Linked DNA regions of Macaca mulatta. The protein of the gene in region 1 interacts with the protein of each later gene in a biochemical or structural test. Links are inferred from orthologs where the notes say so. Each region holds a gene or a part of one and is shown in the gene's direction. Other genes may lie near its edges. The genes, in order: CASP3, PARP1, HCLS1, PTGES3, PANX1, GSN and GZMB.

Region 1 (4,157 bases):
ATAGGCGCAAGCGTTAGAAATAGGCTCTGCCATGGGGTCCCTGATCTGACTTCTGAATGTCAAGAACCTTTTGAAATCTGATGCAGAATGTCGTGCTCACGTGGTGGAGAATTCTTCTGCGAAAACGATTCACAGTTTGCTTCAGGGTCTAAAATGAGTTCATGACCCAAAATAGGAAGGGGATCAGTACGGCAGTGTATAGCACACCCTTCACGTAACTATTAATAACTCCATCTTAGGAAAAGACTCCATTTTATATTTCATAGGGCATTTGCCAACAAGGATACTATACTTTAATAAACAAGTAAAAAACTAGTCCGCATCCACTCAGGTAAGGACACAAACAAGCGCCCTCTTCCACTGTCAGTTCTCACCCGGACTCTGCCTTCGGCAGCTCCAAACAGTCTTAATTGACGCTGTCTCTGCAGAAGGACCTCTCGGGCCCAAACCAGGCTTCTTCTTCTCTTCTTCACTCCCTCTGGATTGGTTGTTCATCTCTTTGTCCTCTCTCTTTTTTTCCTCGGGATGTTAAATGCTACTTTGTTTGCTGTGGGATGCTTAACATGTAACGTTTATATATGGATTAAGTACACTACTGCGTACGGTTTGTAGTACTGACTGATGCGCGGAGTGGCTTGAGCCCGTGTGTCCAGCATGCGTGGACCTGCTTATTACTAGCCCGGCACCCTGGCGACAGGAGGCTAAGGCTTTTGATTTAGGGAGAGGGACCTGGGGGTAACCCCAAGAAAGGCCTCAGGTCACCGGAGGGGGGACGGAAATTACCGGAGGGCGTCCCGGCCCGCTCCTCTTCTTCTCAGAGCTCACACTGGGCAGCAGGCCTGGCCTTGTCTCCCTTCTAGGTCCCCGTTGGGCCTGGCGCGGTTTCCAAGTCTTCCTCAAATTACCTCCAGAATCCCGCGCTGGGAGCGGAAGCCCGCGGACTCTCAGGAAGACCCAGCTTTCAAATCCGGGGCGGGGGAGCGGGGCCGGGCCTCGGGGGCGGGCCTCGGGGGCGGGCCTCGGGGGGCGGGGCCTGGCGGGCCTCGGGGGGCGGGGCCTGGCGGGCCTCGGGGGGCGGGGCCTCGGGCGCGGGCGCGGGCGCGGGCGCGGGCGCGGGCGCGGGCGCGGGCGCGGGCGCGGGCGCGGGCGCGGGCGCGGGCGCGGGCGCGGGCGCGGGCGCGGGCGCGGGCGCGGGCGCGGGCTGGCGGCTCCTGGGGCCCAGCCCGGCCCTGGGTTCTCGGGCGGGCGGGAGCTGGGGGACGGGCCCCAGGGAGGGGGCGCGCGGGGCCGACAGGGGCGGGCCGGGGGCGGGGCTAGCGCTGGAGCACGTCCCCAGGCGGCGGGCTGCTGAAGCGGTGCAGACGCGGATCGTAACGGGTGGCTGCTGCTGTGAGGCGGTTGTGGAAGGTGTGAGAAGGCTGTGCGGTGAGTGCCGCGCTCGCTCCGGGCGGTCAGCCCTGTCCCCGCTCCCTGCGTCCTCCCAGGCCCAGCGCCCGCCCGGGGACCTGGGCGGCGGAGCCTTTGTTTTGCCACCTCACCCGGGGCGGCAGCGAGCAGTGAAGCCCGGGGCCGGGGCCGGGGCAGCCAGGCAGCGGGTTAAGGCTTTTGATTTAGGGAGAGGGACCTGGGAGTAACCTAAGGAAAGGCCTCAGGTCATCGGAAGGGAGACCTGACCCGGGGGCGGGAGGCTTGCCTGGGGCCGGGGAGGCCAGGCAGCGGGAGGCCGGCCCGGGGGAACCGAGGCCGGGGCCGGGAGGTCGGGCACGGGGCACCGAACTCCGAGGGCCAGAGACCTGGCGGCCGGGCCTGGGGCCAGGAGGCCGGGCCAGGCAGCGGGAGGCAGCGGCAAGCTGGAAAGCAGACGGTGCTACCGCCGGCGGAGGAGTGGCCCCGGGAAGCGGTGCGGCGAGGGCTGGGGCGGCCGGGTGCTGACTGTGAGGGACTCGCCCTCGGGGCTGATCCTTCCAATTTTGGGCGAGGCTTCCGTCTCTGCTGCCTTCCATGCCTGGGGCCTGGACTATCCCGGGTTGACTGTGTGGTTTAGCTCTTCCAGAGAGCTAGTTGCAGGGTTTAAAATCCAATTCCTTTTCGGCCCTGCAGAGTTTCGTGAGTGCTCACAGCTCATCCCTGTGGCTGTGTCTCCGTGGCCACAGCTGATTGGCGTCGCCTTGAAATCCCAGGCCGTGAGGAGTGAGCGAGCCCTGCTCGCGCTCGGCGCTGTTGTTTTCAGTGGGTGTGCTCTGCACCTGCGTCTTTCCCCCATTCTCAGTAAGTGGCACCCAAGCAGGAAACCGGAAAACATCCTTCTCGCCCCCCTCTCGCCCACCTACTTCTTTTCCCGCTTAGTCACCAAGCCTTGTCGACCTTGTAAACGTCTGCCAGGTCTGTCCACGTCTCTCCATCTCCACAGCAGCCTCTTCCCTGGTCTCTCCACCTCCAGACCCGCCTGCTCCTTTGTAGTCCACTTTTCACAGCACAGAGGGATCTTTATGAAATGAAAGTCTAGAAAGCGCGTCCTTTGCCCTTAGGTTAAACCCAGCACTTAATACGGCTGACAAACCCCAGTACGTGTTGGGTCCTGAGTGCCCCCACCCCTCCCTATCTTTAGCACCGATTCACTTTCTGCACAGCAATGCTGACCTTCATAGCTAGTGTCTGCCACACCTCTGCATTCCCCTTCTCCCGCCATCACATTTGATTAGAAGTAAGAGCTGCTACTTAAACTTCTGTTTTCATTAAAACAGTTCAAGGTTCAATCTTCCTCTACTGTGTTCTTTCTGCAGCCAGCGTTCCCTAAGAGAGATGTGTCATATCCTCTGCAGTTGCTTGTTTACTGTCTTCCCTGCTAGATTTGCAAGCAAACTCCAGGAGGGATGGACTTGGTTTATCTTGGTGTCCTTAGAGTCTTTCACCAAATGCGGGCCCTGGCACAACGCAGTGAATGCCCATCCGTTGTGTTTTTACTTTTATGCCCTATCTAGAAAAAGTAGACCTGGTTTAGGATTATTTAGCAAATAATAGTTAGAAAAGAAATGGTAGAGGTGACATGGAGTCACTGAAACCATGTAAACCTGCAAGATAGCAGAAAGAGGGCCAGGAAAGGTGGTTAGACTAGACTGTATCAAAATGGGCTCAGCCACTGTGAGTGTGCGTGCTGTGGTTACATCATCTCTAAAAGTGAAATGTAAAGCTTAAATCATCTCTATCACAGCCCGATGCTTGGGCTTTGGTTTTGCTTTGCCTTTTTGTAAAAGAAGGTTTTTGAAAGTGAAAATATATTTTAGTGAATGCACGAACAGTTTATTGGAGTATGGCAATAAAACCTGTTCAGAGTAAGAGACATTAGACATTGTACCTAGTTAAATCAGGTTTGCTTTTGCTATCCTGAATAAAGGCCTTGACTCTTGCCTTTTGAAGAGACTGGCATCTGATATAGGCAGTTATAATGCTTCTTCACTGTTTTGCTTTCAGACCTCATTTAACACAATCTCCTACTGCTTCATCCCCCTACAAAGCAGTCTTTATTTTCATGAATGATATATTACATTGCTTCTGGTGCCTACTATTAGATGTTTAAGCTCTGCCCCAAAGATAGGAAGCACTGGTATTTGGGCCTAAAAAAAGATGTGAGAATTCTTAGATTTATATAATGTTCTTTCTCTGCATGTTTTGTTCTTACCTTCACATGTTGCCTGTAGGGCTTCTTTGCATTACAATAATGCAATCAAGCTACCTGATATGTATTGGACACCGTCTGGCATCTGCTTTGTTGAGCCACTTTTGAATGCCAGTGAACATCGGTATAAGCCCTGCATAGAGATAGGGTTTGTCTCGTCCACTGCTTGATACACTCAGGGTCTAGTATAGTACTCTGCACACAGTTGGTGTTCAGTAAATTGTTATGGTGCAAATATCAAATGAATAGATGCTACTGAATCTGACTTTTGGCAGTTTCAGTCTTCCAGACAGTAGGGTTTCTTCAAGCGGTTTTAAACCTGAATCTGATTCTGCAAAGTAGTCATTCTTGGTGGGAGTGGTGAGCCTTTAATGTTATCTGTAATTTTTATAAAAAAGCATTCAAGATCCTCCATTTTACACTTATATAAATCATTTAGATCTGTGAAGGCTTTCCCGTTTTCTCCTTTTGTCCCTCCAAA
Region 2 (4,174 bases), on another chromosome or scaffold:
CTTACTGATTACTAACTTTTAGGATTCAGCCTATGTCTCACAACCTTCTTGCTTACTCAACATACTTATCTCTTAAGCTACTAGCTTCTTCTCTATGGTTAACACTTTTTATGAGTTTTATTCATCCACTTATTTTTCTTATCCTCTACACCAGAATTGAATATTTTCAAATGCAGCACACTCATGTTACAATCTTTGAAATGAAAAAAAAAAAAAAGCATAGGATTAGAAAAGAAACCAATTTTAATCAACTGTATTTTAAAGTATAGTTCCATATTAAACAACATGATCTAGGCCAGCTGCAGTGGCTCATCCCTGTAATCCCAGCACTTTGGGAGGCCAAGGTGGGAGGATTGCTTGAGGCCAGGGGTTCAAGACCAGCCTGGGCAACATGGAGAGATGCCCCATCTCTTTCTTTATACACACACACAGAGAGAGAGAGAGAGAGAGAAAATATCTGGTAGCAACAGGTCTAGTCATTACCACAATTTTGAGTAGTGATGAGCTTAATAATATTTTGAGTTATCACCAAAATAACTGTAAAGTAACATGAAAACATCTGTGATGACTATTGCCCACAAAGTCACAGGTACTTCTAATACTCCTGGGATTTGTAGTCAAATTCATAATAAAGGAAATGCTAGGTTTCAGTTGGTATTTTGTCCCGACGGTGTATGGATGGCAGGTTGGAATGCCCGTCCAAGCCAGGGGACCTAACACTGCAGGGTCCACCTAGGGCCGATCAACTATATTCCCTAGGGGGGCCTGCTATTCCCGGACCCAGCTGCCCTCAGGGGAGAGAGGACACACTTATAAAAAGAGTTTGGGGCTGGCTTGGTAGTTCACTCCTGTGACCCCAGCACTTTAGAAGGCTGAGGCTCGAAGATCACTTATAGCCAGGAGTTTGAGACCAGTCTAGCCAACTTGGCGAGACTCTATCCCTAAAAAAACAATTTTTTTTTTATTAGCCAGTTGTGGTGGTGCACGCCTGTAGTCCCAGCTACTTGGGAGGCTGAGGTGGGAGGATCGCTGGACTCAGGAGTTCCAGACTGCAGTGAGCCATGATCGCGCCGCTGCACTCCAGCGCAGTGAGACTCAGTCTCAAAAATAAAAGGTGGAGGGGTTGGGGGTATAATTAGTTATGAAAACAGGTAAGACTTCCTGGGACAGAACGATCAAAGGGGTGGCGCCGGGTCCTCCAAAGAGCTACTAGCTCAGTCCAAGCCCCGCCTCGGCCCACAGGGTAGCGGGCCGTAGAGCTCCACCCGCAGGAGCCCGGGAAACTCCGCCCCCCGGCCGGCAGGGGGCGCGAGCGCCGCAGGCCCCGCCCCGTGGACGTGGGCTCCGTGGGCGTTTCCGCTGCCAGGCATCAGTAATCTATCGGGGAACCGCGGTGGCCGGTGCGGTGTGCTCGGTGGCGGCTCTGGACGCTCAGGCGCCTGCGGCTGGGTGAGCGCACGCGGGGCGGCTAGGCGGCGAGGCGGCGGCGTGTTTCCAGGTCGTGGCGTCGGGCTCCCGGAGCTTTGGCTGCAGCTAGGGGAGATGGCGGAGTCTTCGGATAAGCTCTACCGAGTCGAGTACGCCAAGAGCGGGCGCGCCTCTTGCAAGAAATGCAGCGAGAGCATCCCCAAGGACTCGCTCCGGATGGCCATCATGGTGCAGGTGCGGGCCGCTGTGCGGGCGGCGGGGCGGGTACGCGGCGCCCCGGGTTAACTGTGTCCGGGAAGGCTCGGGGAGTGCGGGCCCGGGGAGCGAGCGGACCTGGGCTCTCGGAACGGCACTTAGGGCCTGTGGGGCCGTGGCCGCCTCTCCTCCGCCGAGCGGCCCGGCCGACCCTTCCGGAAGGTTTTGCTGATGTTGCAGGAAAAGCCCGGGAAATACAGTCTGCAGCTGGTGCTGCCTTTCGCTTTGTGTAAACGAGAAGCCGCTTCTCTCCTCCTTTCTTGGTGGTGGTGTTTTATTATTGCCGTTCGCCTCAGGGATTGGGGGTGGGGGGGAATTGTACATGGTCTCTTTAAGCTAATCTGATTTTGACCTATCTTGTTCTGGAAGATTTTTGTCCTACGTGGATGGTGGCGACTGGCATGTGGGGATTTTTTTTTTTTAACCTATTTTTGGCCGTCATTTCAACACGTCATTTTAACGCTCACCCTCATTTTTCATTTTAATTAGGCAAAACTATGCAGAGAGGTGTCATTTCTGTACAGTGCATTCACTTTGAGCCTAATATGTGCTTTAACATTTTCCCCAAATTTTCCAGGTTCACAGACGCGTTCTCGGTGCACTTGCAGCTGTCTGGTTTGAGTAAGAGTGGCTCCAGGGGGGTTTCTCATGTGGGCTTTTTGATAGATTGAGGATCGATCCCCTTTTGAGATTTCCTGAGGCTTCTGTGAGGTGGTGGGCTTGAAGGCCCCTGTCATTTCCCAGGGGCTCCTGCCTCCAGCTTCCAGTTTGCTGATGTCTGCCTTTGTATGAATAATTCTGGTTCTCACCTGCCCTGTTCCTCCTCGCTTCCAACACATTACCCAAGCTTAGTGCTCATGGTCAAGGTAGCTTGATTTTCCTCCCTACCATGAGCTGTAATGTGTTTTAGGAATGACCAGATAGCCCTCAGTGGATTTTCAGGACTTAAAGAGTACAAGGGAGGGCGACATTTACCGAGTGGATACCCAAGTGCCAGGTGTACTTCCGTTATCTTATTTCACAATATGTCTGTCATTTCGGTGTCCTTGGGGCATACCTAAGTCAGTACGTGGCACACAGTGCTTATTTGGTAGATATTTGTTAAGTTCTAAGCACTCTGTTAGGTTTTAAGGACACAGAATCCACCTTTGGGAATTTCCAGTTTGGTTAAACGGGAATTGACTGGTAAACAAACATTGCCGTACAGAGGGGATGGATGCCACCTGATGGAACTGTGCTCCAGGCATTGTGTGCCTAGGAGTCCAAGATGACCCACCTTAGGGTGGAAGGTTGATTAGGAGTCGTTAATTCACAGAAGTGGAGCAGAAAGATGAGGATAGGGAAGTAGACAGGGCCTACAATTTGAAGAGCCGTGTTTCCCACTAAGGAACCTGGAACTTACCTTAAATATATAAGGCAGCCTGTTCTAATGAAGTTCTCACTCCTGGTGCAGGAGCTCTTAACCCCAGGGTCCGTAGGATGGTAGATAGAATGCAAGAGGTCCATGGGTTTAGATAAGAAAAAATTGATATCTCCATCTCCACTAACCTATAGATAAAATTCATTATTTCCTCTAATCATAAATGTAAGCAGCAAAGCAAAGGCATATTAGCAGTCCCTATGATTTTTTTCACCAGCGGTAATTACAGATATTTTCACTTTACAGTTGGGAGTTTCTCAAAATATAATTTACTCTCATTGCTATAAAAATCACAGTTGTTAGAGGCAGTACTAGATCTTGTTATTTAAAACTTTGAAGCTCACGGGTTACTGTACGCAAATTACCTTTCAAATGTTTTGATAATTATTTGAGTATGTTTCCTTTTCGAACTTTTTTGTTTGTTTTGTTTTTTGAGATGGGGTCTCACTATGTTGCCCAGGCTGGTCTCAAACTCCTCAGCTCAAGTGATCCACCCACCTTAGCCCTGTAAAGTGCTAGGATTACAGGCGTGAGCCACCATGACTGACCATTTGCGAGCCTTTTTATTATGCATTTTTAAATGTTATTCCGAGAAAGGGACATCCACGGGCCGTAACAGGTGGGCAGAGTACCGTGTTCTAGTGGAAAGACAGAAAACCCAAGTTCAGGCAGTGTGTTGAGGCTAGAACAACACCACTGTGGAGGAAGTTAGAGGAGGCTTAGTTAGCTGTGGGGGAGGCAGGATGGAGGAAGCTGAACCTGATCAAGTTTAACATTCTGGGGCCAGGCTCGGTGGCACACGCTTGTAATCTCAGCGCTTTGGGATGCTTGGGTGGGCAGATCACTTAAGCTCAGCGGTTCAAGACCAACCTGGCCAACATGCTGAAACCTCATCTCTACAAAAAAAATGCAGTGATTAGCGGGGCGTGGTGGTTCATGCCTTTATGTCCCAGCTACTCTGGAGGCTGAAGCTGGAAGATTGCTTGAGCCTGGGAGGTGGAGGTTGCAGCGAACCGAGATAATGCCACTGCACTCCAGCCTGGGCGACAGACCCAGACCCTGTCTGAAAAA
Region 3 (4,188 bases), on another chromosome or scaffold:
ATGAACTTGTGACATTTGCTAAAGAAAGATGGGGCTTCTTGGTGTCATCTCTGATTAATTTCTAGTTTCTCCAGAGAACTATGTACCTGGATGGTGTGTCACAGTATATAGTCTAATTCGTATTTTGACACTACATGAGGATTCCAAGTGATTTTACAAGACTATTTTCCCTTCTACAAATGTACTCTTCCTTATAACTTCGGTACCATCACAATAAATAGGTAATAAAGTAGGAGGGATAAATAAAGCTCCCCCAGGCATAGAATCCTTAGATTTGGAAGTGACAGAGGCTTCATATTCCTAATGCAGAAAAGTGCCTGTATCATGGGCCAGTTTCATCTAGTCCTGCTTAAACTCCTTGGAGAATGCACCGTTGTGAACAAATCAAGAAGTCCACAGACAATCAAGATTAGGAGAGGCTAGGTCAGATACAATAACAGACACCCTCAAATTCGCAGTAGCCAAAACAAAGGACTATTTAGTGAAAGACTCCAATTCCCTCACATGGTAGATGGGGCTCCACTTGTGTTCTTTCTCACTCAGGGACTCAGTCTGCTGGAGGAGCCAACATGGAGAATTGCAGGTTGCCTTGGGCAGTGGTGAAAGAGCATAGCAAAGCTTGCAGTGGTCTTACAGTCTCCGCCAGAAAGTGGCATCTGTCACTGGCCAAAACAAGTCACCTCAGCACGTCTGACTTCAAGAGGGAAGGGAGGGGCAGCAAGTCTTGACACGCATTGAAACAGGAGGCCACAAAGACCTTCCATCAGCTGACCAGCACCTGGTTCTTTCAGAATTCTTCCTAATATCTGGAGCCAAATCTTTAGTTTGTTAGCTCAGACTCCACAGTGCCCCAAACAAGCTAGGAAACTTTCTCCTTCCATGTCTTGCCTTTTCCCTTATGAGTTATTCCTTCTGGCATTCAACTGGTCGATGTTTATTTGAACATCTATATGAAAACTCCACTTTTAAGTGCCGTGGGTAATATAGGGGTGAGTTTCTTTTTAAGTCTCATGCTTCAAAATCCACATATAAATGACTTCTCCCATAAAGCCTTTCTTGATGAATACATCCCATACCAAATGCTCTGAATTCCTTTACAGTCTCAAACGTAACTGCCACCCTATTTAGGATACAGTGCTGTTCTATGGAATTCTCTAATATGTTTTCTGGTTGAATGTTTGTTTCTCTCACTAGATTACAAAGTCAGAGTCAAAGCAGCATTTTCTATGACTGCCCTATGACCCCCATTGTCAAAACCTTGCAAAAAGACCAGGCACAGAAACATTTAATCCTTTTAAAATTTAAGTGTCTAAAGCAGAAGGAACTGACTCAAATTTCAGGAAGTAGCTGTGAGGATGGGGTGGCAGGAAATGACGAAAACCTGAATACGGAACTGAAGCAGCAGCTCAGTTTCTCACTCCGAAGTGGCAGCAGCCAGAGAGGGAGTCGGTGTGGACGCAAGGAGCCGGGCGCTTAGAACAGAGGCTCGCACAGGTGGAGGTGGGTACTCTGAGCCATGGGACAGTCGGGAAACACAGTAATTGTTGAGGAGGAACCTACCTGGCTCTTAGTCCTTGGTGATGGGCAAGGTCACCACTAGTAGGCTTTTATCCTTTTATGGCCAGAAGGCCTGGTTGTGAGTGGTTGTAGCAAATCAGCATCTGGAGATAGAAACAGAAGGGAGGGACTTAAACTCAAGGCAAATGATTCAGGAGCCATCTAGCACAAACGTCAAGCAAAGTGTTGCCTGGTTTCTGCTGACAATCTACAACCCAGTCTAAGGCATGTCTCCCCTAGGTACTGAGTTGGGAGGAGGACCACAGGAGAAGAAAACAGTGTCTGCCCTTGAAGAGCATATGGTCTCAGGGAAACAAACCCACATAGGAAATGTAACAGATAAGGAAGTAGTCACTGATGTAAAGTAGCACTGAGTACCAAGTGCTGATGGAGCCCAAGAGAAGGCATGATGGTTCTGCTGGGGCTAGTTTCTGTGATTGTAGATCACAGAATCCCCGAATGTCAGAAATCAAGGAGACGTTACAGATTAGCTAGGTTAACCCCTTCATTATTTTCCACTGGGGAAATCAGAGATAATTGCTGATTTGGCAAATTATTCAAGTTGGTATTTATTAATCGCCTGGTCTCATACCTGGCAAATGAGTACCTACTCTGTTGATGCCCTTGTGATGGTCTCTCAGAGGCTTAGTCACAGAGCTGGGGTGACAGCCAGGGCTTCTGACTCCCAGTCCGTGTACTTTGATGCAGGAGGTCAGCATCGCAACAAGGCCTCACCAGATTACTCTCTGGTTCTCACCTCTAGATAGCACTTCTTACCTTTCTGGTTTCTGGTCAATAGGTCAAGGATATTAGATAAATTGTCTCTATTTCGGAAACTCTTTATTTCAAAAATGGGTGAATGGGAGAGTCAGGCTGAGGCCTCAGAGGAGCCACAGGAAAGAGGATGGGACCATCAGTCCTCATTGCTTCCTTATTGCTCATGACTATTTCAGAAACTTCTCCATTCCAGTTTTGTGTGTGACAGTCCTTTTGTTGCACAGCAGCCCAGGAGCCAGGGGATGAGAAGTAGAGGGGTAGTAAGGATGCAAGATTCTAAGTCTTGTTTTGCTGTCTCCACCCGCGTCAGGGAAAGCCGAGCTGCTTTCAGCCGTGACTCACGGCTGACTCAGTCAATATCTGCCCAGTGTCCCCTTAGCATCTCTTTAACTGATTTACCCCAGGCTTCCCCTGGGCTGGTTTTTAAGGGGTTGCTCAATGGAGAAGATGGAGTTTTCAAGTGGAAATAGAAAACTGGAGAATCTGAAGGCCTAGGTGGAGACAGGAGAACCCGAGGAGTAGTTGTAAAGGAACTCTTTGGAGACAATGGAGAGCATGAAGAAGGTATCCAATGGGATGAGGTGTCTGAGGAGGGAAGGGTTGCCAGCTAGCAAGTCGTGCCAGGGTCAAGAAGTCTCAGTAGCGACCATAGCAGATGAGCATTGTCTGTTGTTACTTCTTCACACCAAGATCCACAGATGCAGAGCAACCATGCTGCTCTTCCTTCTGCACAGTCCAGAAGGCCGACTAGAACACTGGGGATGCTCTAGCAGAGTAAGTTTGGCACCCTTCCAAGCTAGTGTTCTCTAAATATTTCTGCAACATTTATTTAGTTGATAAAAACTGAATACCTCTTAATGTTCAAAATAAGATTTATTATATATGATTCTTTTTTCTTTTCTATGATAAATTGTCAACTTGAAAACATGCTATTTTTTGAACTACTTTTCTTTAGAAATATAATTGAACCATTTTTTAAAAATTGAGTAATAACTGACTTATTCCCAGCAAATAATGCTTTCCCATGCATTCTTCAGTGTGGAAATGTCAGCCAACTGTCCCTACTGACCTTATGCAGCTGTGAAGTGACCAGTCTCAGGGTGAAGGTGGGACACCACTTGGACAAGAGGCTGGAAAAATTCTCAGTATAGTTCAGCAGGTTGTAAAGAGAGACGTAGATGTTCACTTGTGAGAAACTGAACCAATTGGTATTTCAACAGTGACAAAGGAATCGTATATAGAAACCTGAGTGAAATGAGGCCATAATTCTAGGGATATTATAGCACCCCTCATTGCCAACCACCTTCAGCCACTGCCTGGCTGGCCTCGGGACACAAGTGAACAATTCCAGCAATTTTGACTTACAGGTTACCTAGTGTTACCCACACCCATGGCAACTTCTCTCTAGCTCCAAGCGGGCCCAGGCCACATTGGTTTGTCTTGAATAAAGCCCTATCTCTCCTCTTGTAACTGAGCAGAAAAGCCTTCCTACAACTCCCATTTGCTTTGCTTCATTTTCTATTTTCTTCTAAGAAAAAAAATGGCAGGAAATATTGGGCTTCTATATTTTGACTTCAACATTCCTATTTTCCCTCCTCTTGATCCTTTTTTGTCCCTAATTATTCCCATCTCCTGTCACTCTCAGATGTGGAAGTCTGTAGTGGGCCATGATGTGTCTGTTTCCGTGGAGACCCAGGGTGATGATTGGGACACAGATCCTGACTTTGTGGTGAGTTTGGAAGTAGCTTTGCTTGAATATTGCAGAGAGTGGGGTGGCGAGGGCATCTGGGCAACTCTGTGACCTTTGAGGATGCTTGGAAAAGGGCCTTCTGGGACTGAGACAGCCCTCTTACT
Region 4 (4,145 bases), on another chromosome or scaffold:
CCACCGCGCCAGGCCAACTTCCCTTTTTTTTTTTTTTTTTTTTTTTTTGAGACAGGGTCTCACTCTGTCGCCCAGGTTAGAGTGCTCCCTGCAACGTCCACCTCCTGGGTTCGAGCTATCCTCCCGCCTCATACTCCCTAGTATTTGGCATTACAGGCGCGTGCCACCACGCCCTGCTAATTAGTAATTTCAGTAGAGATGGGGTTTCACCATGTTGGGCAGGTGAAACTCCTGACCTCAGGTGATCCGCCCACCTCAAGCTTCCCAAAGTACTGGGATTACAGGCGTGAGCTATGGGCGCCCGGTCCAAAATGGCATTTGAGCTAGGGTCCAGTTTTCGTAGCTCCCACTACCTGTCGTGCACAACATAGACACTAAATACCTTATTGCTTATTATGAAGCCCCGTTCTTCAGAAACGTTTTATAGCACTTTCGTTAAACCTCCTTCCTGTTCATAATGCAGTGCACTAGAGTATTTTTCCCATACTCCACCGTTAAGTGGCCTCTTGGTAAGCAGGACTGTTTTGGGTCTCTTGGTTACTATCCCCTAATACACCCTATTAGTGTGTTGCACGAAGCGACGGGGAACCCGTTCTCCCCCAAATGATGTGCGTGGAGACACCCAATGTCCTAGCCTCTCCATTCCCAGAAACCTAAGACTCTCCCACCAAATATCCTTCCTGTCTCATCTACAGCACTGAGGTCTCAAGGTAGGGGCAAAAGCCCGCCCCAAATGGCAAATGCTCCTCCTCCGCCAAGAACCTCCAATTTCCGCTGTCCCTAGACAGAGCCTCCAACCTTCAGAAAAATGGCGAGGTAGACCCAGGCCCTTGATTCTGAAGTGAGCCCTTTTCCACAGCACAGCCTTTTCACAGGTTTTTGTGGTGGAATGATTCCTCAGTGAACTGATTTACTCCCTCAAGAGTAACCAACGCTCCATTTTAGTTCTATAGGATCCTGACTCCGTGTCCCTCCGCCTCGGCCTTGCCTCCCACTGCCAACGCAGCCGTTTCTCAGAGAAATCGCCCAAGGCGCATGGCCGGGCAGTTGGGACACCAACGGTTTTCTAACGCGAGAGGACAGCGAGGGAGGAGAGGCGGGAACGCGTAGCGACTAGCAGGGGGCGGGGTGGGGGTGGGGTGGCGGACGAAGGGCGGGGCCGACGCCAGGAAGGATCGCGAAGGAGCTGGGAAGCCCCGCCCTTTCCGTAGATATCTCTAGAAAGCCGCGCCGGACCCCGAAAACAAGGACTGCGCACGCGCGGCGGTAAGGCCCGGGCATTTTGCTGCGTCACCAGCCGCCGCCCGGCCTCACCACCCCTCGTTTGCACGCACGCACGTTCATTCTCCGTCCTCGCGCCCGTTTTCCTACACTTTCCTCTTCTCCCCGACCGGAGGAGCCGCTCTTTCCGCGCGGTGCATTCTGGGGACCGAGGTCGAGCCCGCCGCTGCCGCCGTCGCCTGAGGGAAGCGAGAAGAGGCCGCGACCGGGGAGAAAACGCGGAGTCGCCACTGGAGAGAAGTCGACTCCCTAGCAGCAGCCACCGCCAGAGAGGCCCGCCCACCCGTTCGCCCGTCCCCCTGCCCCGTTCACAATGTGAGTGCGACACCCCGCCGAGGGAAGGTCGCCCAGAGTGAGGCCGAGGCCGCGTTGGGGGCTCCCTGGAAGCGGCCCTTGCCCTCCCTCTGCTTTTGGCCCCATAGCCTTTCTCGCATCGGTGGTGGCAGTCGTTCCTGCCTGGGGGCGGGAGGTCCAGGATCCTTGTTCCGGTTACCGTTGGCGGGTGGAGGACATTTTTCCTCCAGATGTCTGCTTCCCCCACCCCTGAAACGTCCCTTGGCTTCCCTATACCGGAAATCCTACTTTTTCCCTCTTTGGCTGTCTGGGCTACTGGCTTCCTTAGGTAACTTCACCTTAGGCCTTAAGCTCCCCGGAGCTGCTCGCCATGCGGCGCCGTGAAGCGTGAACCCTCGTGGGTCGCCTCGGCTGCTTGGGCGCTCCGGTTCTGCTGCTTTGTGGTCCCCGGGCCAGGCCCTGAGTCGAGTGCACCTGTGGTGGGTGCCGCCAGTTGCCTGGCGGAGCTCCTGGGAGAGCCCCACGCGGGCCTAGCCGTGAGCGGCAGGTACTGCTAGGCAACTAGAGTGAAGCCATGCCCACGCCGCAACATACTTCTCTCTCCAGTGTCTGGGTTTCTTGAGTGTGGGTACTTGAAGTCCGCCTCGTAACTCCAGTCTCTTGAAAACACGGGAGGTTGCCAAAACTCAGCCGCTTCCCTGGCAGCGAGGAGGAGTTACCGTTGAGCAGGTAGTTCTGCACGTGTCTGCTTTGGAAAGACACGGACATTTTCTGTGTTCCATGTTAAACCTGAGGTGAGGTTTCACTATCCTGTAACTGTGGGGTGAAATATGTATGTAATAGGCGTGTAATTAACCTACTGTTGTCCTAAAGAGTTTAAATTTGTGTTGAGATTCTATGGTAGTCTTCATTTTATGATGATAAAGGAAACCTCGGCGATTTTAACCGAGTAAGAATTCTTGGCACTGCCACGTACAGTGGGAACTGCCGGTTTTACAGGGTTTTGTTTTAGTTTTTGGTTTTTTTTTGACGGGAGGTTATTTTTTAAGGTACTAACTGCGTCCTAAAAGGTATGGAGAGCAATTAAGGGGGAACCTTTTTTTAAAAAATATTCCATTCAGAAGAGATGAGAGGGAGTGACTTTGTGGAAAAGTAAGAAGGGTTTGCTTGATTCAAAGTCATGATACTGACGGCTAGAAATCTAAAGGAATGAGTGAGGGATACACTGAAGCGAAGTTTATCACTGGAAACAAGCTTCTAGAGCACAGCATGTTAGAATTTTTGAGGGAGCCCCCTCCCCGAGAGTGATACGTAATCGGGGTTTTTAAAAGTTTGAATCAGGCTGGGCGCGGTGGCTCACACCTGTAATCCCAGCACTTTAAGAGGCCGAGGTGGGCGGATCACCTGAGGTCGGGAGTTCGAGACCAGCCTGACCAACATGGAGAAACCCCGTCGCTACAAAAATACAAATATTAGCCGGGCGTGGTGGCACATGCCTGTAATCCCAGCTACTCGGGAGGCTGAGGTAGGAGAATCGTTTGAAACAGGGAGGCAGAGGTTGTGGTGAGCCGAGATCTTGCCATTGCACTCCAGCCTGGACAACAAGAGTAAAACTCCGTCTCAAAAAAAAAAGTATATAAAATAGCTTTTGTTTTTCCCTTTGAAATCTCTCATAAGTAATGTAGAAGGGACATCAGTCTTAACCTTTCATACTCTGAAAATCTGTAAGGGAAAATTTTTGTCAGATAAGGCATTAAGCAGCTTTTAATAATAGAGCCAAACAACATATCTTTTCGTGAAAAATGTTTAAAATGGGCTCGAAGTAGAAGCACTTTCTGGAGGGCACATGAGATATCTAAATAGGTAAGGAACGGCTAAGTTAGGAAAGTAAATTTAAAAACTTGGGTGAAAAGTGTAAGGCCAGGCGCGGTGGCTCACGCCTGTAATCCCAATACTTGGGAGGCTGAGGCAGGTGGATCACGAGGTCAGGAGTTAGAGACCAGCTTGGCCAATATGGTGAAACCCCGTTTCTACTAAAAATACAAAAACTAGCCGGGCGTGGTGGTGCACTCCTGTAGTCCCAGCTATTCGGGAGGCTGAGGCAGGAGAATCGCTTGAACCCAGGAGTCGAAGGTTTTAGTGAGCCGAGATTGCGCCACTGTACTCCAGCCTGGGCAATAGAGGGAGACTCCGTCTCAAAAAAAGTAAGTGTAGCAGTAGAGAGACAATTCCAAAAAGCAGCCTCTCTAGTTAAAAAAAAAAAAATGGTACCTTCATGCCGGGCGCGGGGGCTCACGCCTGTAATCCCAGCACTTTGGGAGGCCAATGCGGGCGGATCACGAGGTCGTGAGATCAAGACCATCCTGGCTAACACGGTGAAACCCCGTCTTTACTAAAAATACAAAAAATTAGTCAGGCGTGGTCGCAGGCGCCTGTGGTCCCAGTTGCTGGAAGCCTGAGGCAGGAGAATGTCGTGAACCCGAGAGGTGGAGCTTGCAGGGGGGATCGCGCCTCTGCACTCCAGCCTGGGCCACACAGTGAGACTGTCTCAAAAAAAAAAAAAAAAAAAG
Region 5 (3,870 bases), on another chromosome or scaffold:
CAAAACATTTTAGACTGTATGTTGTCACCCGAAGCCCGTGACTGTAACCTGTGTACCGCACCCTCCGATGAAAAAAAACCCAACTCCGACATGAGGGGTCCTCCTCCCTTTTCCTAAACTTTCTTCTAAAACCCTTCCAACGTGTAACACATTTTGAAACATGCCCAACTTTGCTGGTAAGTCTTCTTGGCTGGATCCTCACATTTAGCTTCCGATAAATCGAATTATTTCTACCTCAACAGCCTTAATTTCCGTGGACACTTGTCAGAGTATTTCCTCCTGTCTTTCTATCATCCACTTCCTGTGAGCTGTTCAGAAGCAGCTCTCTGCAGCCTCAACACCCAGCTACCTGCAGGCCGCCCCTCTGCTGGCTCCCAGAACAAGGCTCTGATTGGGATGGCAGAGGAAAGAGAAACGGGACCAGCAGCGCTACTCAGGCCTCAGACGGGTCATACTCCACACTCACCAGCGTTTCCACGCCACCATCTCACGCGGAGCTCCTGGAAGGGTCCAGCGCTCCCTCTGCAAGGGACCGTCTGTCTACACCGCTCGATTGGCCTTTTACGGCACTGACTCTTCTTTGAAGTTTTTACAGCTCCTTCTAACCCATTTCACTGTGTTGGAAATGTTAGGGGTGGGGCGTAAAGGGGGCCATCCCGTCCACAGAAAGAGTTGCTTGCAGAAATGATTTTAAAATTCCCGGGTGCCAGGACGTGAGGAGAATGCGGCCGGGAGGGACGGGAGAATTTTCAAAGGTGCCGCTCAGCGGGAAAATCCCTTTGTCGGAGAGCGGGCCCGAGGGGCGCTGGATGCAGCCGCGCCCACCCCGCCTCGCGTCACCGCGTCTCCGGAAGCTCCACGCCCCTGGGTACTCGGTTTCCCCGGATGGTTCCGGAAGAGCGCGGCGCGGCTGGCAGAGAGCGCAGGGCAGGCCCGGAGGCCTCTTCTGCAGCCGGGGCGACGCGTAGGCGCAGGGCCAGAGGGAAGCGCTTTGTCTCGCGCGTGGTTCCCGCGCCTGCGGGCGCGCGGGAGAGGCGCGAATCCGAGTGCCGCGCGCGCCCCGGGGACTTACACCGGCTGAGCGCGCGAGGTGGGACCGCAGGAACCGGAGCGCCCGGGTCCCCGCCCCGCCCCGCCGGCGGCGGAGGCAGCGAGCGCGAGAGCCCAGCGGGGTCGCTGGGAGCCGGAGGCACCGAGACACAAAGGCAGGCGGGATGCGAGAGCATCTGGGGAGCAGGTAAAGGGAAAGCGAAAGCCGCACGCCCGGCCAGTGACAGGGTGAAGGAGCCGCGCAGCTCTCCCGACGCCGGCAGTACCAAGTCCTGCCTGGCCGAGCCTGGCGCGCCGCAGCCATGGCCATCGCCCACCTGGCCACGGAGTACGTGTTCTCGGATTTCTTGCTGAAGGAGCCCACCGAGCCTAAGTTCAAGGGGCTGCGACTGGAGCTGGCCGTGGACAAGATGGTTACGTGCATTGCCGTGGGGCTGCCGCTGCTGCTCATCTCGCTGGCCTTCGCGCAGGAGATCTCGATTGGTAAGCCTCGCCCAGGACGGAGGGGAGTGGCCGCCCCGGTCTGGCCCGGTGAGCTGCGATTTTACGGCTCACAGGCCCGAGCCTGGGCACGCCCAGCTGTGATGGTAGTGAGCGTCAGGAAGGACAGTGGTCCCGGTTTTATGGTCCAAAGCGTTCTTTGCCCAGGTGTTTGTTTCATTGGTACCCTGGTCTACTCTGCTCGCATCCCTACTCCTCAGTTCTTTTGTTCCTTATGCCCCACTGATCGGATTGTGGCTTACAGTTTATGTTCCACCCTTAGAATGGGCACCTTGCCACCAGATTTGCCAAAAATAGCAGTGTCCCCGTTTTTCACCCCTGTCTCCTACGTACTTGTGCAACCGCTTAAAATTTTGCGCCAGAGAAGTTCCTGAGTGGCTACATGGAGAATGTGAAGACCGGTGCTCCATGAGAAGTGTGTTCTTTCACTATCTTACATATAATTGGTGTTTGCTGAGATCTTAGCTCTCTAGGGTTGTGCATGATGGGAAATATCTGCACTTGGCAGGCATTAGAGGGATCCTCCACTTGGACGGTCTTACGAATGTGAGATGAACAAGTCCCCTTCCTGTAAATTCTCATTTGAGCTTCATAACTGTTGTGTGAGATTGGAAAGTCTGGTGGTTTGGGCAGGATCATGTGGCTATGTGGCTTATCTTCCTCATCAGCTGTTCTGACTTTCCACACAGGAGAGAGTGTTTATGAACCAACAGGAAGGTAGTGCAGGAAGGTTAAATACAGTTCTGTGGCAGGGGGAAGAGAGAGGACCCATTGCGACTGGACTTTGGGAAAACTTTGTCAGAGGGTGGGTGGGATTTGGATAAGCAGGAGTAAGACCTTTGTTAAGGTTTTGAGATGGCAGAGAATGTTATATGTTCCTGGAAAGAGAGACACAGTGACCGTCCTAGCCAAAGCAGGAGGATAAGTCAGAGTTCCTGGAGTCCGAGAGTGAATATGGGCCTGGGTCAGCCTGGAACAGAAGAGTGTAGGCTGATGGTTTCAGAACTGTGAAGTTATTGTTTGAGCAGAGGACAGACTGGTTGAAAACAGCACTAAGTAAATACTAGCCTGATGGTGGCATTTAGGGTCTGGGAAGAAGGTGAGAGGATGGGGCCTGGAGGGCTGAGTGCCAGAGAGCAAGGCATCAGTTGAAGTCTTGTGCACAGCAGGTGTGAAGAGTGGAAGAAAACGGGTGGGTGATTGCTGTGAGATCAAGGAGTATATAAGCAGCACTTGAGTACCTAGTTTTTCATAGGCCATGAAGGGCAGTACTGGTTGAACGCGCTGTGGAGGTTGTATGTCTGGCTGATTGGAGTGTGGTGTTGGTGGGAATTGTGAAGTTGAGGGAAGAGTTGATTAGGAAAGAGTGATGGTGAGTGTGATTTTGCAGTCTGCAGCATTAAGTTGTTCAGTTTCGCAGGAAGTTGCCAAATTCATGGTGGAAAATAAGTTTTTCGTTTTCCTGCATTTGCATAGACATAGTCATCGGGATTTTCTTTAACTTTCCATTTGACAGTGAATTGAGGCTTCCAGCTGAAAGGAAACCACCAAGTAGCATGAGTCATGGAGATAATCTCTCCCTTCAGTCAATTCCTCCTTCAGTACTGGCTGTGTGCTGAACTCCGCGCTGACCTCCAAGCACCGGGGAGTAAAAGAGGCATGGTCCCTGTCTTGGAGGTGCACGTCTTGGGTACCTGGTTGGGACAGAAAGGCAGGAGGGAGGAGTTAGTCACCCTCTATGACTAATCTCCACCTCTAGCGCGTGTACTAGAGGGACTCTAAGGCACCTGCACCTGTAATGCCTTAGATACATCTAAATTGGTGGGCTGAGAGGTATTTTGGGGGTATTGGGAGTGGTTTTACCTAGCAAGAGTCTGAGGTCGTGCTGTGTGCATAGCACTGTGTGCTGAGGGAGGTGGGAAAGGATTTTGAGACCTTGTTCTTGCCCTGCCTTCTCCCTGCCCTGTGACAATTTACTATGCAGTTGGGCACTAGAACATATCTATTAGCAGGTAACACCATTCAGCTGTATGTAAGTCAGCACCCAGACAGGTGTTGAGCTATGAGCTCCAGGCTGGTGAAGGTTGGCAGGCACTTGGGTGAGGAGCTATTGAGCAGACGCCCATGTTTTCTGAAGTGTTTTCAGGAGTTCCAGGGGAGGACAGACATGTAGGATGAAGCTAACAGGACCAGGGAAGACCTATTAGATCAGGTATACATTTAGATAAAACCAGAAGAAGGGCTTTTGAGAAGAGGGGAGAGGTACATAGACTAATACATGGAGTTGGTACAGTGAGAGGGATCATGTTATGCAGCATT
Region 6 (3,998 bases), on another chromosome or scaffold:
TCTGTGCTAAACAACAGCCTTTTCTGCTCTGATCCCCAGCACCTGGCAATTACAGACTGTAGTACATTTCATCTTGTGTTAAGATGGAGCTTTACCCTGGCTGAACATGAGGCTGCTGCCAGCACCCAGGCTGGGAATGGACATCTCTGTCATGTGGTGCAGTCTCCTGTTGAGTGTGTGAATCCTTCCAAATTGGAGTCACGCGGCAACTCCAAGAGCCCTGGGAACCCACGTGTGCACCAGGACTGTTGGGAGGCCCTCCTATGCCTTGCCACATTATAAACGGCTATCGTCTCAAATGCATATGAGATGCTGTTGAGATCAACAAAGTTTTACATTTGTTTAAAAGTGACCTTGAACTCATCTTTCTGCCCAATGTGGATTTCCTCAATCTCCTCAAACAATATCTGCTATGACACAAATAAGAACATCCGTTTATGCAGAAGCCACAGTGCCTTGTCATTGTGCTGAGGGTCTTTTTCTCACTGAGTCTTCTCAACCGCCCCATGAAGAGGCAATCCAGGATGCCCATTTGACAAACGAGGAAACGGAGACTTAGGTATGTGAGCTCGCTTGCCCAAAGTTACAGGACTAGTTGATGTCTGGGGTTCCAAACCAGGCCCTTCTGACTCCACGGCGCCTGCTTAATGGTCCACTTTAAGGACCAGGGATGCACTTGGCATTTTCGTTACTTCATTCGGAATGAGCTGGGAATCGCTCTTCCTCTTTATTCCCTTCCGTGGGAAGGAATCTCCCTTGCTTTGTGTGCAGCCTATGTCACTCTCCGAAGTCTCACTTTGCCTCCTGAAGTCCGTCCTCTCCGGGGCTGAAATCGGCCTCCGCTGGTGCTAGTTGAGCATTGCTCGCCTGCCCGCCCCATCTGAGCTCTTGGCCCCAGGCCAGCTCAGGAGCTGCCCTGGGTCTCCTCCCCGACGCTAGGCCTCTTCAGATCTCCCCTCCGTGCTCCAGGCCTCAGTTTCCTCCAGGGGAAAGCAGAGGGCTTGGTGCCTTCCTGCGAGGTGAAGCGAGGGGTCGCCCTGGATGAAGGCAAGCTTGGAGCCACCCGCCCTGCAGCCGACGGGAGGGCCTGGCGCTCCTCCCCCACCCGCCTGCCGGGCCGCCCCGCCCCGAGGGCGGCTCCCGCCCGCGCCCTGCCCACCCCGGCCGCGCGCACCGCAACGCCCCAGCCCCGCCGCCCGGAACCAGCTGAGCACAGCTGGACCCAGCAGCCGCCGTCTCCAGCGCCGCAGCAGCAGGTAGGGGAGGCGCGCAGCCCCGGCCCCGGACATCTGGGGGTCCCGGGCTGATTTGAGCCCTTCCTCTCCCTTCCTTCCCGGTCCTGTCTCGCGCGCGCCTGGAGCTCGGCCCGGCCGCGGGGGTCGCTGGAAAAGGGCTTCCGCGCTCAGTTTTCCCGTCTTCCAGGGGACCAAAGAGTGTGGATGGGAGCAGGGGGATGGGGAGACGCTGGAGCAGGAGAGGAGAGGGGCCAGGCCTCCACCCCGTGATTCCACTGTGCTGCTAGCACCTGAGCTAATAACCTCGACCCCGCCCCCGCGATGGGGGAACTGTCCCGGGGTCACTCCCGCGCTTGGGGTGTCTGAGCCGGGCATGCAGGGGGCCACCAGCTACGGTCTGGGCGGTGACCCCGCTGGGGAGTCCACTCAGAGGACCCTTGCCTCCTGGACGATACCTGTGCTTGCTTTCCTCTTCGGCTTCTTCCTCTTTCTGAGGACTGTTAGAAAGTTCTTCCTTGTACTGTCTGAAATCTTCGGGCGCCTGCTACCTGTAGCTGCTGGCTCCTCCCCGGCCCTGCAGTGTTCCCTTCCCTGACTCACACGGAAGCTTCTTTCGGAGTTGAAGACAGTGATTGGAACCCCTTCTCCCTGATCCCCCATGTCTTCTGGGATCCAGCCCCCCAAAACCTAAATAACAGCAACTTCCCTCTGGTCCAGTGCAGGTTGGCTGGTCTGCGCAGTGCCCGGGGAGAAGAGCCAGTCCTCGGAAGACTGGGGGCTGGGGGTGTGGGCGAGCAGGTGACATTGGCTTTCTTCCTAGCTCCTTCTCTGCCCAGACATCTGCCGCTTTATCCTGTCCTCACACCCTCCTCAGAGCATGGAAGGGGCTTTTAAAACACCCAGAACTCATTCTAGGCTGTCTTGAGGGTAATTGGACTTTGTGGAAGGCGGGGCTTCTGGGGAGGTGCCTCTCGCTTTTGTTTGGCCTTTGGGGACTTTTCAAAGACTTAATCCTGTGTGTCGTGTTCTCCCAGGACCACATTTCTGACCAGGGCACCAGGAACTCTCACCGCTCTGCCCTTTACAGCGACCATAGCTTGCTAGAATCTTACCCCATCCCCATTTCACAGTTAAAAGTCAAGGACCCAGAGAGTTTATGATGGGCTAGTTGACACACAGTGAGGCAGGTTAGGGCTGGGACCCAATTCCAGTCTGCTCTTTGTGGATTCCTTGCTGGGAGGGACTTTAGCCTCCTTCTTGGGTGTTCCGTTCACTAAAGGGACAAGCATTCCCCACCGCTCCCCCCCCCCCCCCCCCCCCCCCCCGCTTGGGGATGCTGGTTGGTGTTTCCTGGGGCTGTTAAGGGAGAGAGGCTTGGAAACAGAGGAGTAAGGATGGGGATGGGAACGGTCGGCTTTCAGCTCCTTTGAAACTCCATTTTTCTTTCCGGGGCCTTGCTATTTAGAAATGCCAGGGAAATTGTAAACAGCCAGGGGAGCTTGGGTTGGCATTCGGTGAGTTACACAGCAGCAAAGAAGGTTTCTGTGTGAATCAGGGAAGGGAAGTTTACTCCAGAATTTTCTATAGTCCTTTTATTAGGGACTAACATGAGCCTGGAAACAGGCTGCTCCCAGGAGGGGTGGCTGCAGAGTTTGCCCTGCATGGCATTTCCTTCCACCCCTCCTCCCTCCTTTCAGCCCTTCTCTGGACCTGTGTTCTGTGCTTTGCCCTGCGAGGGGCCCAATAGCCTCGGAAGAGGACAGAGCTCTCTGTCCTCAAGATGCTTGTCATCTATAGTGGTTGACACTTTCGTGCCATATTAAGAGTGACTTCAGCCTGCAGGCGGAGTGACTAATTTTGTCTGGGTGACCCAGACCTCAGAATGAGTAATCATTTACCAGGAGAAACAGGAGTTGGAGGAAAAGACATTCTGAGAAGCAGGAACCACTTGTGCAAAGGCACTGAGGTTTTCTGAGCCATCCAAGTGGCTAGAGTGGAGGATGGGAGAAGGGCGGGGTGGTGGGAGTTGAGACTCTAAATGAAAATGGAACTAGATTATAAGCTAAAGGTTTGGACTTCATCCTGAAGGCAATGAAGAACTGAGAAAGGGTTTTGACAGAGCAGTGGTTTTTAAAAACTCATTATTCTGAATGGCCGATATGGGGGATGCATTGGACCAGGCTGATCTGGAGGCAGAAAGGCCCTGAGGAGGCTGTTGCATGATTCAAGTGAAGTAGAATGCAGGTCTGAACTAGAGCGTGGCCACTGGGATGGGTCAGAGCAGCAGATTCTGGAAGCCCAGCTGAAGGTCTCAGAACCTGCTATAAATTTCATCTAAAAGCAGACAACAGGCTATACCTACTGGAGAAGGCTGCTAAGGTATTCAGCATTGTAATTTTTTTTCTTTTTCATGAGTTTTAAAACAAACAAAAAATATTGTTAAAGATTCAAACATAAATTTTTATCCCCCCAAGCCCTCCTCTTTCCTCAGAGGTCGCCACTGTTAACAGTGGTGTGTGTGCGCTTCTGCCAAACACGTTGGTTGGATGCCTTCACTCTTAGCCATCCAGTGACAGTGGGCCACTTTCCCCTACTCCATGTGAATAGTTTGGGTCATTTGTGATGTGGGTCATAGAGATGATTTCTGCTTGGTCTATGGTACTTTGCTGAGACATTGATCTCTGGTTTTCTTTCATTAAACTTTTACATCCTATGTCTGTGGTCTCTGAGTGTATATATTTGCTTATCAGAGACCACAGGTGT
Region 7 (4,164 bases), on another chromosome or scaffold:
ACTATAGTTGTATTAACTAATAGATTTCTACAATTATTAGTAGAATAATTTTAGAAATGCTTAATTTGTAGGGTTAAGCAAGGATAAAATAAACTGCATTGTCTGTACAATGTGATCCCAAGTATTTAAAACACACTGCTTATGGTAACAGTCAGTCTGTGGGAGACAGATTAATAAGTGATATTTTCCCTTCCTACTTTCCAAATTTTCTTAATAAACATATGTTATGACTATAATCAGAAAAAAAATATTTTTAAAACGTCTACTATGGGGCAAGCTAGGTTCAAAAAACAGAAGTCTGATAAATGTAGTTGGCTTGCTATTGACAAGGAAGACATTTACACTGGAATTCTATTTTTGAGATATACCATTCTTCATAGAAAAATTGTAAAATACAGAAAATACAAAGATGGAAACAAATCACAATAATAAAACCACGTAGAGAGATTTAGTTTTTTTTTAATAGAATTGGGCACAGGCTGTTTAGAAACAACCATCTTTCACATCCATCATAACGATAGCATTAGTGTAGTTTGTTTAGCAAATGTTTACTGTGTGCCTATTATGTGCTGAGCCTGCTATGTAAGAAGTGTGGCTCTCTGGACAGGAGACAGAATACTAAAAAAGACAACTACTTATCTTTGGCTGCCTGGCATGCTTCCTCACTTCACATGGTATCAGCAGTTTAGCATTACAAACGTCCTTTAGAGAACCAGCCCTTTCTCATTCTTGGTTCTAGTGGCTTGAGTGGACTGACCCCAGCCTACCCAAAGTGGATTCAACTCCTAGCAATTCGTTAATCTAGCCCAATAAAATGTCAAGTACAGGACTTTTATTGAAAGCGTTCAGAAAAGAGGTGAACTCTCACACTAAATATTTGTAACTAAATAAAGGATGTTAGAAATTCCCTAGAAAGGAAGCTATGATAATAAATGGGTTGTTAGATGGGTCTAGTAGATGGTGGCCATACTTTGTTACTACCTTGTGTATTGCTCTACCATGGCCCTCCCCAAACTGTACTCTGGCTCCTGGCATTTGTCTCTTCAACCAGACGGTCAGCTCTCTAAGGGAAGGAGACACATCTCCAACATGCTTGGTTCCAGCACAAACTGCTAAAGAAACTATCCTGATGGATTTAGCAGCATGGCCTTGAGGCATTGGGGTTCTATCACTGGGAACTCAGGTTTCTGGTGCTTCAGTACCTCTACTGGCTGATACCATATCCTACAGTTCACTTCATATGCTTGGGTTCCTGCTCTGGGCTGAATAGGTAGTCTACTCTGAGTCATCAGCTGTGGGTGCTGATGTGGTCACTGCATGATTTTCACACAAGCACCCAGAGGACGTCATCAGGCAGAAGCAGTGGGGGTGGGCAGCATTCACAGAAACTCTGTGATGAGACACCACAAAACCAGAGGGGAACATGAAGTCACTGAGCCTGCTCCACCTCTTTCCTCTCCCAAGAGCTAAAAGAGAGCAAGGAGGAAACAATAGCAGCTCCAACCAGGACAGCCTTTCTGAGAACATGCAACCAATCCTGCTCCTGCTGGCCTTCCTCCTGCTGCGCAGGACAGATGCAGGTGAGTGATCGTCTCCACCCTCGGGGGCCCAACCCCATCCCATAGGTCTCCTGCCCTTTCTCCACATTCCTGATCCATCTATCTACCAGGAATGTTCTGAACTCCAGCTCCCATTGTACCAAGACCCCCCAGGTGTGATGCTGGATAAGCTATCAGCAGGAATGGCAGAGCAGAAGGCCGTTCTCAAGAAGAGCCAGTGGGTACTATCCCCTCTCCAGAGCCCACCTTTGTCACCTGGAGAGTGAGACTTTCCTAGAAGTAAATGGCAGAGGATGGGAAACTAGAAAAGAGAAATATTAAATTATTCTAGAGTAGGCCTGGCTTCTGTTTCTGGGATAACACAGGTCCTTCTCTCACCGTCTACTTAGGAGAGAAACCCAGAGCTCAGCTGACAGCAGAACTGGTGCAATCACTGTCCTCAGAACACTGTTAATGTGTTTGCTCAGTCCCATTCTCCAACTCTGCTTTTCTTCCCTGGCCTTTGGTGGCTCCCCTCTTTCCAAGAATGAGGCACTATGGCAAGCCTGAACTTCCGTTTTCTAGAATTCCACCAGCACTGCTCTGCCAGCCCTCATCCAGAGGCTAACTGGAGCCAGTCCATCATGCAGCCATGAACATTTATTGGGCACCCACTACATGTCAGGCTCTAGGAAATAGCATATGACAGTATCTAGATCCCTCCACTTATGCCCTGGCTATTAGAAAGCAGCACTATCCTAGAAACCATGGGACTCATAGGTCTTGGAAACTCACCTGAAACAAAGCAAAGTCAGGAAAGGAATGATCAGGAGCCTCTGGGATTTCACTGTCCCTAAGACAGGTATGCTTGCCTTCGACTACATATGGAAGAAAGATTTACAGACCAAAGTCTGCTGTCCTTCCCTTTTACAGAGCAGGAAATTGAAACCCCTTCCTCCAGGCCCCTCCCAACTCCAGGCTATCCCAGGTTCCCAAATGCCCAGGAATTCTGGAGCCATCAAGCAGGTGCCCACCCAGCAGATTCCGTGGGTGCACACAAGCAGAGAGACTTTTCCTTCAGGGGAGATCATCGGGGGACATGAGGCCAAGCCCCACTCCCGCCCCTACATGGCTTATCTTATGATCTGGGATCAGATGTCTCTGAAGAGGTGCGGTGGCTTCCTGATACGAGAGGACTTCGTGCTGACAGCTGCTCACTGTTGGGGAAGGTGAGGAGCAGAAAATAGCCCATACTTTCCCGGAAACACTCCACAGAGACCCCTGCCTTCTTCCCAAGGAGCTCCTTGGGCTCCTGGGAACACATATGCCAGGAGGGCTCCTTAGAGGGTGAGAAAAGGGCAGGTAAGTTTGTGGAGAGGGGGGAAGGTTGGTTCCAGAGGCGCTGCTGAAGTAAGAAACAGCAGAGTGACCAACCCTGCCATATTTAGAACCGGGGGCATACTTTGGCATAAGAATACAAACTGAAGCAATTCCACTGGTGTTTCAAGGGGGAACCGACCCCTGAGAAACATGGTGCAATTACCAGAATTCCAATTCCTGGGGACAGACTGTCCCCTTAATTTCCCCTCAGCTGCAGCCCTGCCCCAGCTGTCACCTGCTCTTCACTGTCTCTGGGCTGTGTCCTCTGTGACTCCGCCCCCATCCTCACTCTGCTCTCTGTGCAGCTCCATAAATGTCACCTTGGGGGCCCACAATATCAAGGAACAGGAGCGGACCCAGCAGATTATCCCTGTGAAAAGAGCCATCCCCCACCCAGCCTATAATCCTGAGAACTTTTCCAACGACATCATGCTACTACAGGTGAGGCACACTCCTGCCACTCTTGCTCTTCTTGAGCAAGAAGTCCAGTTGGTTCCACTCCCACTGTGATGCAGGCCCTTCCCTCCTTTCCATCCTGGCCTTTTGGTTAATTCCTGTGCCTCAGAGGAGAGAGAAGACAGCATAGTCCCATCACTGTGTCAGGGCCCAGAAGTTCATTGGCTGACCTGAACTTTCTTGCCTCTTCCCCACCAGCTGGAGAGAAAGGCCAAGCGGACCACAGCTGTGCAGCCCCTCAGGCTACCTAGGAACAAGGCCCAGGTGAAGCCAGGGCAGGCGTGCGATGTGGCCGGCTGGGGACAGACGACCCCCGATGGAAAATACGCACACACACTGCAGGAGGTGAAGTTGACAGTGGAGGAAGATCAAACGTGCAAATCCCGCTTAGGCCGTTATTACGACAGTACTGTTGAGTTGTGCGTGGGGGACCCAGAGATTCAAAAGGCTTCCTTTAAGGTGAGACTATGCATCTACCTGGATTGGCTCTGGGGAGAAAGATGTTTGGGGAAGATCTGAGACCTGCAGACCTAAGTAGTGGGGGACTCCTTCACCCACTAGACTGTGATCTTTCTCTCTGGAAAGAGAAAAGGGGACTAGACAGAGCTGGGGAGAAATTAGGGCCTCTGCAAACTTACAAGGAGGCTTATGGTGGATGGTGCTCCTTTGGAAGGATGAATTTGCAACACTCTACCCACTCCAGGTCACAGATATTAGGAAACTGTGCCCACTGGGAATGCAGTAATTATAACCAGGTGTGTCTTCAGAGGTCAGTACCCAACGTGGTTAA

The links.
Region 2: of the proteins of CASP3 (region 1) and PARP1, one has a biochemical effect on the other in vitro, tested with the Homo sapiens proteins (9 studies listed by BioGRID and IntAct). The link is inferred for Macaca mulatta from reciprocal best matches to the Homo sapiens genes CASP3 and PARP1.
Region 3: of the proteins of CASP3 (region 1) and HCLS1, one has a biochemical effect on the other in vitro, tested with the Homo sapiens proteins (2 studies listed by BioGRID). The link is inferred for Macaca mulatta from reciprocal best matches to the Homo sapiens genes CASP3 and HCLS1.
Region 4: of the proteins of CASP3 (region 1) and PTGES3, one has a biochemical effect on the other in vitro, tested with the Homo sapiens proteins (2 studies listed by BioGRID and IntAct). The link is inferred for Macaca mulatta from reciprocal best matches to the Homo sapiens genes CASP3 and PTGES3.
Region 5: of the proteins of CASP3 (region 1) and PANX1, one has a biochemical effect on the other in vitro, tested with the Homo sapiens proteins (2 studies listed by IntAct). The link is inferred for Macaca mulatta from reciprocal best matches to the Homo sapiens genes CASP3 and PANX1.
Region 6: of the proteins of CASP3 (region 1) and GSN, one has a biochemical effect on the other in vitro, tested with the Homo sapiens proteins (2 studies listed by BioGRID). The link is inferred for Macaca mulatta from reciprocal best matches to the Homo sapiens genes CASP3 and GSN.
Region 7: of the proteins of CASP3 (region 1) and GZMB, one has a biochemical effect on the other in vitro, tested with the Homo sapiens proteins (2 studies listed by BioGRID). The link is inferred for Macaca mulatta from reciprocal best matches to the Homo sapiens genes CASP3 and GZMB.

The regions. Positions count from the first base shown.
Region 1 is NC_133410.1:193,076,818-193,080,974, reverse strand, and holds the start of CASP3 (caspase-3), read left to right. Parts: upstream 1-1,357; 5' UTR 1,358-1,425; intron 1,426-2,100; 5' UTR 2,101-2,268; intron 2,269-2,330; exon of another isoform or gene 2,331-2,364; coding exon of another isoform or gene 2,365-2,402; exon of another isoform or gene 2,403-2,490; intron 2,491-4,157. Other genes in the region: PRIMPOL (DNA-directed primase/polymerase protein), read right to left, coding at 2,365-2,402. UniProt on the Homo sapiens protein: Thiol protease that acts as a major effector caspase involved in the execution phase of apoptosis. Following cleavage and activation by initiator caspases (CASP8, CASP9 and/or CASP10), mediates execution of apoptosis by catalyzing cleavage of many proteins.
Region 2 is NC_133406.1:84,166,520-84,170,693, reverse strand, and holds the start of PARP1 (poly [ADP-ribose] polymerase 1), read left to right. Parts: upstream 1-1,374; 5' UTR 1,375-1,542; coding exon 1,543-1,662; intron 1,663-4,174. UniProt on the Homo sapiens protein: Poly-ADP-ribosyltransferase that mediates poly-ADP-ribosylation of proteins and plays a key role in DNA repair.
Region 3 is NC_133407.1:162,124,757-162,128,944, forward strand, and holds the start of HCLS1 (hematopoietic lineage cell-specific protein), read left to right. Parts: upstream 1-1,388; 5' UTR 1,389-1,500; intron 1,501-3,024; exon of another isoform or gene 3,025-3,045; coding exon of another isoform or gene 3,046-3,108; intron 3,109-3,979; coding exon 3,980-4,063; intron 4,064-4,188. UniProt on the Homo sapiens protein: Substrate of the antigen receptor-coupled tyrosine kinase. Plays a role in antigen receptor signaling for both clonal expansion and deletion in lymphoid cells. May also be involved in the regulation of gene expression.
Region 4 is NC_133416.1:63,860,573-63,864,717, reverse strand, and holds the start of PTGES3 (prostaglandin E synthase 3), read left to right. Parts: upstream 1-1,345; 5' UTR 1,346-1,594; coding exon 1,595-1,596; intron 1,597-4,145. UniProt on the Homo sapiens protein: Cytosolic prostaglandin synthase that catalyzes the oxidoreduction of prostaglandin endoperoxide H2 (PGH2) to prostaglandin E2 (PGE2).
Region 5 is NC_133419.1:94,944,396-94,948,265, forward strand, and holds the start of PANX1 (pannexin-1), read left to right. Parts: upstream 1-1,352; coding exon 1,353-1,533; coding exon of another isoform or gene 1,534-1,586; intron 1,587-3,870. Other genes in the region: uncharacterized protein LOC114672334, read right to left, coding at 837-1,586. UniProt on the Homo sapiens protein: Ion channel involved in a variety of physiological functions such as blood pressure regulation, apoptotic cell clearance and oogenesis.
Region 6 is NC_133420.1:36,932,088-36,936,085, reverse strand, and holds the start of GSN (gelsolin), read left to right. Parts: upstream 1-1,198; 5' UTR 1,199-1,256; intron 1,257-2,968; exon of another isoform or gene 2,969-3,100; intron 3,101-3,998. UniProt on the Homo sapiens protein: Calcium-regulated, actin-modulating protein that binds to the plus (or barbed) ends of actin monomers or filaments, preventing monomer exchange (end-blocking or capping).
Region 7 is NC_133412.1:97,735,497-97,739,660, reverse strand, and holds the start of GZMB (granzyme B), read left to right. Parts: upstream 1-1,364; 5' UTR 1,365-1,423; coding exon 1,424-1,580; intron 1,581-2,619; coding exon 2,620-2,767; intron 2,768-3,223; coding exon 3,224-3,359; intron 3,360-3,572; coding exon 3,573-3,833; intron 3,834-4,164. UniProt on the Homo sapiens protein: Abundant protease in the cytosolic granules of cytotoxic T-cells and NK-cells which activates caspase-independent pyroptosis when delivered into the target cell through the immunological synapse. It cleaves after Asp.